3 linked regions of the Oryctolagus cuniculus genome follow. The protein of the gene in region 3 purifies or fractionates together with the protein of the main gene of each other region. This does not show direct contact. Links are inferred from orthologs where the notes say so. Each region holds a gene or a part of one and is shown on either strand. Other genes may lie near its edges.

What was found.
Region 1: the proteins of DDX5 (region 3) and EZH2 purify together in Homo sapiens (affinity purification with mass spectrometry; 4 studies listed by BioGRID, with this or other methods). This does not show direct contact. The link is inferred for Oryctolagus cuniculus from reciprocal best matches to the Homo sapiens genes DDX5 and EZH2.
Region 2: the proteins of DDX5 (region 3) and EED purify together in Homo sapiens (affinity purification with western blotting; 3 studies listed by BioGRID, with this or other methods). This does not show direct contact. The link is inferred for Oryctolagus cuniculus from reciprocal best matches to the Homo sapiens genes DDX5 and EED.

What each region holds. Positions count from the first base shown.
Region 1 is NC_091434.1:174,767,214-174,770,871, reverse strand, and holds part of EZH2 (histone-lysine N-methyltransferase EZH2), read right to left. Parts: intron 3,154-3,658; coding exon 3,058-3,153; intron 2,492-3,057; coding exon 2,410-2,491; intron 1,739-2,409; coding exon 1,658-1,738; intron 1,485-1,657; coding exon 1,400-1,484; intron 116-1,399; coding exon 55-115; 3' UTR 1-54. UniProt on the Homo sapiens protein: Polycomb group (PcG) protein. Catalytic subunit of the PRC2/EED-EZH2 complex, which methylates 'Lys-9' (H3K9me) and 'Lys-27' (H3K27me) of histone H3, leading to transcriptional repression of the affected target gene.
Region 2 is NC_091432.1:77,405,027-77,408,684, reverse strand, and holds part of EED (polycomb protein EED), read right to left. Parts: intron 3,172-3,658; coding exon 3,080-3,171; intron 520-3,079; coding exon 386-519; intron 1-385. UniProt on the Homo sapiens protein: Polycomb group (PcG) protein. Component of the PRC2/EED-EZH2 complex, which methylates 'Lys-9' and 'Lys-27' of histone H3, leading to transcriptional repression of the affected target gene.
Region 3 is NC_091448.1:14,232,408-14,234,816, reverse strand, and holds the end of DDX5 (probable ATP-dependent RNA helicase DDX5), read right to left. Parts: intron 1,790-2,409; coding exon 1,565-1,789; intron 1,342-1,564; coding exon 938-1,341; 3' UTR 636-937; downstream 1-635. UniProt on the Homo sapiens protein: Involved in the alternative regulation of pre-mRNA splicing; its RNA helicase activity is necessary for increasing tau exon 10 inclusion and occurs in a RBM4-dependent manner. Binds to the tau pre-mRNA in the stem-loop region downstream of exon 10.

The sequences.
Region 1 (3,658 bases), on a different chromosome or scaffold from region 3:
CCTGAAGCTAAGGCAGCTGTTTCCGAGAGGAAGGGGAGGAGGAGGTAGCAGATGTCAAGGGATTTCCATTTCTCTTTCGATGCCCACGTACTTCAGGGCATCAGCCTGGCTGTATCTGGAACAACATGAAAAAACAATCGTCACCTTTCCAACATGCGGTGAGACTGCACACAACCAACCCTGCTTCTTACAGTATCTTAAAAAGATAAGTACATACACCCACTTACACAGCTACAGGCATTGAGGTACATTCATGGAAGGCGACACATTCTGTGTCACTGGTAGCCTAGTTAAGAAGTCGCCAGGTTCTGAACTGAGAAACCTGTTTCATTATAAGCATTCCCCTACGCCACTGCAGCAGCCTGCCCCAGGAGGGCACGTCTACATCATGACGTACAGGCCTAACACTGGGAAAGTAGAACAAAAAGGTAATCGTGATTTGGAAACAGTGATCTGAGCCACCAAAGAGCAGCTGCACACGGGTGAAAAGGTGAGGGGACAGACAGAGAAGTGTGAGGCCCCGACCACTGGGTGCAGCCTCCAGGCACCCTCAACCCCAGGCGCACCTGCCTCTCTGTTCAGAGCACACTGGACTGAAGCAGAGACGACCATGCCCCGAGAAGGACCCCCTCTCTGACCCGACAATCTCAGTTCTCTCCGTCAACTGTGTGGTGGTAGTCATTAAGCCCTGGTTTGCAACAACTCTTAAACAGCTTCTGCGTGGGATTCATATTCGGCAACAGGATTCCTTTATTAGACAGTCACCTGACTGCATCTGATTGGATGTTAAATATATAAGCGCATTGAATTTAGTCCACAGAACTTGATAAGCTGTATAAACTGCCAGCCTAAGGCCTCCCAGCATCCCAGTGGTTTTCCTCCCCAGAAAGAGCCCAGAGGCAGGTAGTTACCAACAGTGCTGACTTTTTAAATAATAATGTGGTGTGGGGTATTTCCAGCAACTAAAAAGATGAAGTAGATGTAAGTGTAGAACTAAAGTTCTGTGTAGCATACTGGCAAGTCAAAGCAGGTGGCCGAGTAATCTATGTAAATATGATGTGATCACACTGTCTTCAGACAGGTGCCACAAGCAGGCTTGATGCGTGCACCAGGACAGGAGGACTAGGACTCACACAGCTCTCGGCAGGCTGAGAAGTGGGGCTTTCTGCATAGGTTTTAATCTAATTGTGTAGGTAATGCTTATTTTTAAAATGATGAGTGGAAAACGACATTACTGTGATGGCAGGCTGCAATGCCGCACCGACACCGATGGCAGACAATGCCCAGTCATGCCCAATGACAGCCGATCTCGCAAAGAACTGAAAAACAGCCCTTGTCTACAGTTCACATGTAGGCAGGCAAAGCCCCCAGATCACATTAGAAATGTACTTTTACCAACCTGTAATCAAAAAACAGCTCTTCACCAGTCTGGATGGCTCTTTTAGCAAAAATACCTATCCTGTGATCTCCATTAACCATCATAACTGGAAAGAAAGATACACTGGTGTCAGAGCAGGTAGCGTTAAGACAGGCCACAAGGTGGTTCCCTGACTCGGGAACTTCATACAGCTGTCCCAGAACTACTCAAGCCCCCATCACTGTATAAGAAAGGGAGTCCATGTTATCAAGCTACAGTTCTGACTTCTTAAGTACCCACCTTTTGCATAGCAGTTTGGATTCACTGAATGATTTGCAAAACGAATTTTGTTACCCTTGCGGGTTGCATCAACTACAAAATCTAAAAAAAAAAAAAAAAATACACTGAATAATTTGTTGTCAATCAATAAACAGTTATTCTGGAAATACAACTGGGTATAGTTCTTCAGGGTTTGAATTCAAAAGCAAAAAGATCATGCAGTCAACTTCATTCAGTTCTAAATGATACTTGGGAGAAAATGCTGTTCTAAGTTAAAACTAATCACTGGTAACTCAGGATGGTTGTCTATCTCATGCTATTACTTATCAACTATGCACTGCTGAGCAAAACCTTTCTAAAAAAGGAATCTAAATTCCTAACACAAAAACATCCATTTTCACATGTAAAATTCTATTAATGTTTTTTCACTATACTGTCTATGTAGCAATCACAGAAAAACTACTTGTTCCGATTGCGTTCCTGAGAACACCTGCACGTGACTGGAACAGCAGCAGCTTCCTGTTCACAGTCCTTGGGTAACACCCAGATCAAGTGTTGGACGATGCTTTCACATGCAACACTCCATGTCCTTCCCAGGTCAGACAGACTCGAAGGGTGCCAAGCTTACACAGCACCCAGGTTCTCAGGAAACAAGCTGTCCTTTGGAGGTCCTCCTAGTCACCTCGTGGAATTCTAACGCCATCTCCAAGCACTCAGCAGAAGGCTCCTACGTGCAACCCAGAGGAACTAAACAAGTTCTAGTTCAAACATACCATTGTTCAAGTTGAACAAAAAGCTGCACATGTATTTATCATATACTTTTCCTCTTCTGTCTGCTTCATCTTGAGAAATTATCTAAAAGGAAAGACATAAGAATAAAGTGTTTTGGGGCAGGTGATACAGCCTGGTAGAGCACACAAAAAGCTCAAGAGGATTTAGTCTTAGGGAGACTACTAAGCAAAGGAACACTACAGCCTCTCTTTCCCATTTGGCCTGTTCACTGGTCAAGAAGAGCAGTGACATTTTCAGGACTCCAGCTCAAAGATGGATCAAGTGATTATGCTTGGAGGAAATGGCTAACGAAAGTGTTTCTGCTGAGTAAAAGCCACGGCCTGCAGCTTCAATACAAACTGAAGCTAGGCCTGTGATTGTTTCCCTTAACCTACAACTAACCCTAAGAGCATTTCTAGGTCCTCTTCCGCTAGGCTGTGAATTTAAGCAGGACAGACATACAAGCTCCCATGCTCCCCCTTTCCCCAAATCCTAAAAGCTACATGTGGCTAAAACTGAAGCATTCCAGTTACTAAGCCAAACCAAAACCCACAAGCCCAAGTCAAGCTGGAAAGACATTTTATTCATTTCTAATCAAACCCAATGGACTTGCCCAATGAATATGAGAATATGCAATTAGTGTGCCTTACCTCTCCACAGTATTCAGAGATGAATTCATTTTTCTGTACAGGGTCTTTAATAAAAATTCCCCAGCCTGCCACATCAGATGGTGCCAGCAACAAATGCTAGAGAACAAAAAGCAACTATGTAATCATATTTGGAAAGCAAAGATAGACCTGTTTCAATGCAATTCAATACACTGTAGACTGGGTCATCTGAAAGCTGCTGAGGATAGCTGGCAAACTGAAAACACCGTTGTGTTTCTGTTTTTTAACCAAACACAGGCGGACATTGTGGCACAGCAGGTTCAGCCGCCACTCGCTCGCATTCCCTATTAGAGTGCCTAGGATTGAGTCCAACCTCCACTTCTGATCCAGCTCCCTGCTAATGCACCTGGAAGGCAGCAGCTAATGGCCCAAGTACTTGGGTCCTTGCCACCTCCTGGAAAACTCCAATGAATCCTGACTCCTGGCTTCAGCCTGGTCCAGCCCCAGATGTTTGTAGCCATTTGGATCTTTCATAAAGAAAACATACAGGAGGCCGGTGCTGTGGCATAGTGGGTAAAGCTGCCGTCTGCAGTTCTGGTATCCCATATGGGCACTGGTTCGAGTCCCAGATGCTCCACTTCCA
Region 2 (3,658 bases), on a different chromosome or scaffold from region 3:
CTTCCCAATAACGCCGGCTTTAAGAGGCAGTGGTGATGACAAAAGTAACTGAGCTCCTGTCACTCAGGTGGGAGACTTGAACTGCTTTCTCAGTTCCTGGCTCTGGCCCCTACCCAGCCCTGGCCTTGTGGGCATCCGGGGAGTGAACCAACAGATGGGAGCTATCTGTTTCTCTCTGCCTCTCAAATAAAAAGTAATTAAAAATCTTTTTTAAGTTTCTGAAAATGGGACATCTAAACTGAATGCTGGATACTTATCCAAAGGAGTGTCAAGTTAATGGAAAATTCATATTAACTTTTTAATTTTTCATGAGCTTCTATAACAATTTTGGGAAAAAGTAAAGCACATCTGTTAACAGTACCACAAGGCAAATTACAACTGTTACCTGTTAGTTTTATTTGGATTATAATCATAAGATTCTTTAATTGCATTCATCATTCTCTTTGAATTGATCCTCCAAAGTTTAAGAGAGTGATCCATACCACAGGACATTATTTTTTCACCCAAAAGATCATAATCCTATATGTAAAACAGAAAAAGTTTAAGTATATAAATTATAGTCCCAAATTATATTTATCCAATTTTCACCTGTTATCTAGTGAAAATTGTATTTCAAATCACAATATTAACAGTATTTTGGGTTTCATCCATGTAGGCCATAAGTGGGAGTTAGAGTGGACATTTGGCCTAGCAGTAAAGATGCCACTTGAGATGCCCACATCCCATATGTGCCTGGATTTTGAGTCTCCTGCTATCAGTTTCCTATTAATGTGCACCCTGGGAAGCAGCAGGTGATGCTGGTTTAAGTACTTAGATCCCTACCACCCACAAGGGAGGTCTGGATTGCATTCTGGCCCTAGTTTCTGCCTGGCCTAGTTCTGGCTGTTACAGGCATGAGAAGGGTAAACTCTCTCTGCCCCTCAAATTAAGAAAGAAGAAACACAATTACAGAGTTGACTACTGTTTTAAGTGGTTTGTCACCATCAGAGTTTATGAGTTTTGAATATAGAAGACAAAAAAGTAAATTACTTAAATTTACTTTGAATTTATTTAATATATTTACACATTTCTGTTGATTGATTTTGAAGGTAAACTGCATGCTGAAGTAAAATTATTGTACGACACAAAGAGATGAATAGTAATATTACTTTTCTTAATTCTAACTAAGCAATGAAACCGACATATGCATATGAGACATCAGGAATCCTTAAACAACCTTTAAGTCAAAATATATCAATGTTAACACTGGTTTTAAAATTCACTTTTTAAATAAAAAAGAAATTTAAAATGCAAACAGAATTTAACTTTTTCATTTACTTTTTACTAATATTTAATAAGACATCTAACAGGTCATCTATTTTAACAGCCCTATTGCAGAGTTAGACACTGAAGCCCAGAAATGCCACTTAATTTAGTACAAGGCACCTAATGAGTTAATGAAAATCTCACATTGATCCTTCCAGCAGTGTACTCCTTCATTACAGAGATACATATTGTTTCCTGCTCTAACTTCAACAAATAATAATAGAGTTCTACAGGAGAATACTTATTCTTACCAATTTATTTTGTAATACTCCAACCTTAAAGTAATTCTAAGTATTGCTGTTTTATAGGTGCCTAAGAGATTTAGGTTTGGTGTTTGAGTTCACTAATCTGGTCACTGCTACTTCTACTACCATCAATAGCAACAAGACATCCTTAGAGGCAGTAGCTCTAAGTTAGAGCTCTTAATAAAGGTAAGTACACTTGGATCTTACTTCAACGTTTAGAAAATGCAAGTAGACACAGTATTCTAATGTAGGTATAAGTATCACAAACTCCAGCCAGAGGAATATTTTAGTACCTCCAGTTTGGGGGCCAGCATTATGGTTCAGCAAACTAAGCAACAACCTGCAATACTGGCATCCCATATAGGTGCCAGGTTTGAGTCCTGGCTGCTCCACTTCCAATGTGGCTCCCTGCTAATGCACCTGGGAAAGCAGGGGAAAATGGCCTAAGTCCTTGGGCTTTTGCATCCTGGGCTAGTGGCTTAGGCCTGGCCCAGCCCTTGCTGTTGTGGCCATTTGGAGAATGAATGAGCAAATGGAAGACCTCCTCCCTCCTGCTCTGTAACTCTTTCAAATAAATAAATCTATTTTTAAATTTTTTATTAATTTTTTATTTTTTAAAAAATCGAAATAAATCTAATGAGCTATACATGGAACACAATAAAGCCAAAATATAAAAGTCTGAAATGTGACTAAAAACACTTGTATTATAACACATCAATGGATTATAATACATTAACATAAAGCTAACAGTGATCTTTCAATGTAATCAACTGTTGGTCTTGTGTAACACTAGGCCATGTAAAGGAGTGGAAACAGGATGAACACAATAAAAACTTCTTAAAAGTGGGTAACTTGGGGCCAGTGCCGGGGTGTGGTGGATAAAGCTGCCCTCTGTGACTCTGGCATCCCATATGGGTGACAGTTCATGTCCTAGCTGCTCCACTTTTGATCCAGCTCCCTGCTAATGACCTGGGAAAAGCAGCAGAAGATGGCCCAAGTGTTTGGGCCTCTGCCACCCACATGGATGACCTGGATAAAGCTCCTAGCTTCAGCTTGGCCCAGCCCTGGCTGTTGCAGTCATCTGGGGAGTGAAGCAGTAGACAGAAGATCTGTCTTTCCCTCTCTCTATATAATTCTTTCAAATAAATAATTAAATCTTAAAGGGAGGTAATATACATTTCAACTTTATAGAAAAGATGAATTTTCTAATGGCTAAGAGAAGCAGTAAAACGTTAGCTTGGTGATTTTATAGTAAAAGGAAAGGAGTAAGTTCACACTGTCCTTTCAAGAGAATCCAGGTATTGATATAAATCAAAGAGCAGGCAATTTTAAACAAAAGCAAAATCAAGCTTTCTGGTTTGATTTATTTCTTCACCTGTAAGACTAAAATCTTGTATGTAAAACAGTAAAATGACTGCTTGGTAGGTTATGTGAAAGAAACACATGCTTTCTTGTAAGGACAGAGCTCCATAGGGACTGTTTATAGCTTTGTAAATTTGCAGGTCACTCTCCTGAAACTTTCAACTTACAGCACTTAGAACTTCATCTCTGTGCCCCTCTACGCCACCAAATATTGCCACAAGAGTGTCCGTCTGGATATTCCATAATCGTAAAGCATGATCTAGGATGAAAGTACATAACATTAGGATAAACCTTTATCATTAACTACTCTGAACTTTAACTTACAACTGCTTGCACATCAGAGCCCCAGTTACTGTGAATTTTAACACATCCTCAAACTAACAAAAATTTAAAAAATTTGAATTCTGGCATAGAAATGACTAGGAACGGAATTCATATTAAAAAATAAAATATTTACATGACATGTAGATTTGAAAGTATTTACATGAAATGCAAATTGTAAATATTTATGTGATCTTAAATATTTTAAGCCTAATTACCTCAAGTAATTTTCTTTAAACAATATAAATTGATGGAGATATACTTTTGAGATGAGAAAATAAGTACCTAGGGACTTGACAAATAATTTTAAGATATATTTTATTTATTTGAAGGAGTTACAGAAAGAGGTAGGGAAAGATAGAGAAAGAGAGAAAGAGAGAAAGAGAGAAAGAGAGAGAGAGACAGAGAAGGTAGGTCCTCCATCT
Region 3 (2,409 bases):
AGGCTTTTCCCTTGAGTATGGAAAGACCTTAGAAATCCCTGAATTATTGGAAAGACATTCATGATTTCCAGTGTGACTTGAATTAGGAGCTCCAGAAGTCTGTGAAGACTAGACTGTACAAGTAAACTGCACTAAGAACGTGGTGCAAATAGCATCAGACTCAAATGCAGCTCTTGGCCAAGTCCCTTAAAGGGCTTTCCAGCTTTGTTCAACATTTCAGTAGTTTAGAATATAGTGAAGAGAATATCATCTTCTGAAAAGGCAAATTACTGGAAATTTTTAAATTATAAATTTGCAAAAGGAACGAACAGTCATCCATGTTGTTCTTACTATACTCAATCTACTATCTCATGTAGTCATTCTAACAAGTAAGGAAAATAGGCTATTATTAAATGACCCCATTGATGTTGGGAGTTGCCAACAAAAACTTATGCAATTTAGCCTATAACTATGTTTACCCAGATCAGTCTCATTTTAATTCTTCCAATATGACCAGATCACTACACAAAGGGCCTTACTTATTGCCCCCCTCCCCTACAACCTCCCAAATTGAAAACTAGTCACTTAAATAAAAAAGACCATCTAAGCAAAGTTTTACATGACATTATATATGGAAAATAAAGTACAATTTCCAATTCAGTCTTCAAATATTTTTATTGGAAGGCCATGCATTGCCTTCATTTATTGTATTTCAAATCACTGTACAGTTACTTTTGTGAAAACACTGCCTGCATTTTCTAGTACAAAAAAAACCTAAAAATTGTTTCAGGAATGTAGAGAAATATCCAACTTAAATAGCGAAAAAGTGCACCATAATTACTGCTGCACTGCAGTCATTTCTGCATTTCCCATGTTTCTTAAATAACTATCTTGTCTGGTAACACACAATATAAAGAGCAATTATGAAAAACAGACATTTACATATACTTCTAAAGTCTTATTGAGAATATCCTGTTGGCATTGGATAACCAATCATAGGTGCAGCTGCAGTAGCAGGATATGCATATGCCTGTTGGTTCATACCATTGTGCATATTTGGAACATTACTTCCATATTGCTGAGTGCTATCATACCCATTCTGGTAAGTCCCTGTTGGATTACCAGTCCTAAAACTGGTCTGTAAACCAGCAGACACAAAATTACTTCCAAAGCTCCCATTGGTGTAACTTGCAGCACTGTAAACACCATTTTGAGTTTTTGCCCCAAAATCTCTCTTAAGCAGACTAGAGTAACCTCTGTCATAATTTTCCCTGTCTCTAAAGGTATTAAATCCACCCCTTTTGCCCGCAGAGTATCTGTCCCGACGGTCATCCTTCATGCCTCCTCTACCCCTGGAACGACCTGTCAAAAAAAAAAAAAATGTTGCAAACTTATTAATGTCTGCGGCACAATTTATTGCTAATATATAGAAAGTAGGTAATTCTAGTCATAATCATGGGTGGGAAGTATTTTTCAATTTCTCAAATTAAGTTTCACATTCAAGATTTTATTCCCCCTCTAATCCCACCTGAATGGATTTGTAGACGATGTGACCTGAAACCACCTAATTCAAGGCGAGTCTTACCTGCCCCTCTGTCTTCGACCAGCTGAAGCAACTTGGGGTTAATTGCTTGATTAGCTTCCCGAAGCACAGAGATAAGGTCGCTCACTTGCTTTATGTTATTAGGTGTAAAGAAAGTGTATGCTGTGCCCGTTTTGGTACTGCGAGCAGTTCTTCCAATTCGATGAATATAATCCTCTGAGGAGTTAGGGTAGTCATAATTGATGACAAATTTCACATCTTCCACATCTGTAAGGTGTTGCAGTGTGGCAAAATAGCAATGTATGGAGTTTTGCACACCACAACAGCCAGACCAAAAATAAAAAGTTAGACAATTGTATTCCCAAGAAGGTACGGGCTGCAAAAAATACAGTTAAAATGGTTATCCTTTCCCTGTAGGAATACCATTCAAGTTTAAAAAAAAAAAAAAAAAAAAGAGGAAAAAAAAAAAAGCACACATCAGCTGTACAAGCCATCGCCCACCCAGTGATAAAGCTTGTCGAAAGGAACGTGTGTTCCCTAGCACATTCCCAATTCAGCACGTCCCCTTACAGATCATCAAGTGACATCTGAATGCTTCTGCGCAGTAGGGCCACTTTTAAGTTTCACAGCAACCTCTTCATGTGCTCATTTTGAGGACCTTTAAACAAAAATGTACAAGGTCCTTTGCATTACACACTCATCGGAAGTTCAAAATTCAGGCCACACTGCTTGTCTTGCCAAGACCTTACAACCGCAGCTGCAAGAAAAACATACCTGTCCCCCAAAAGTTGTTTTTATGCACTGTGTCTCGTCTAGGCAAGCGCTTCCAAGAAGCCAGGATTCACTTGAGAATGTGTCTCTCTCTGGCAGGTCTCGACATGACGACT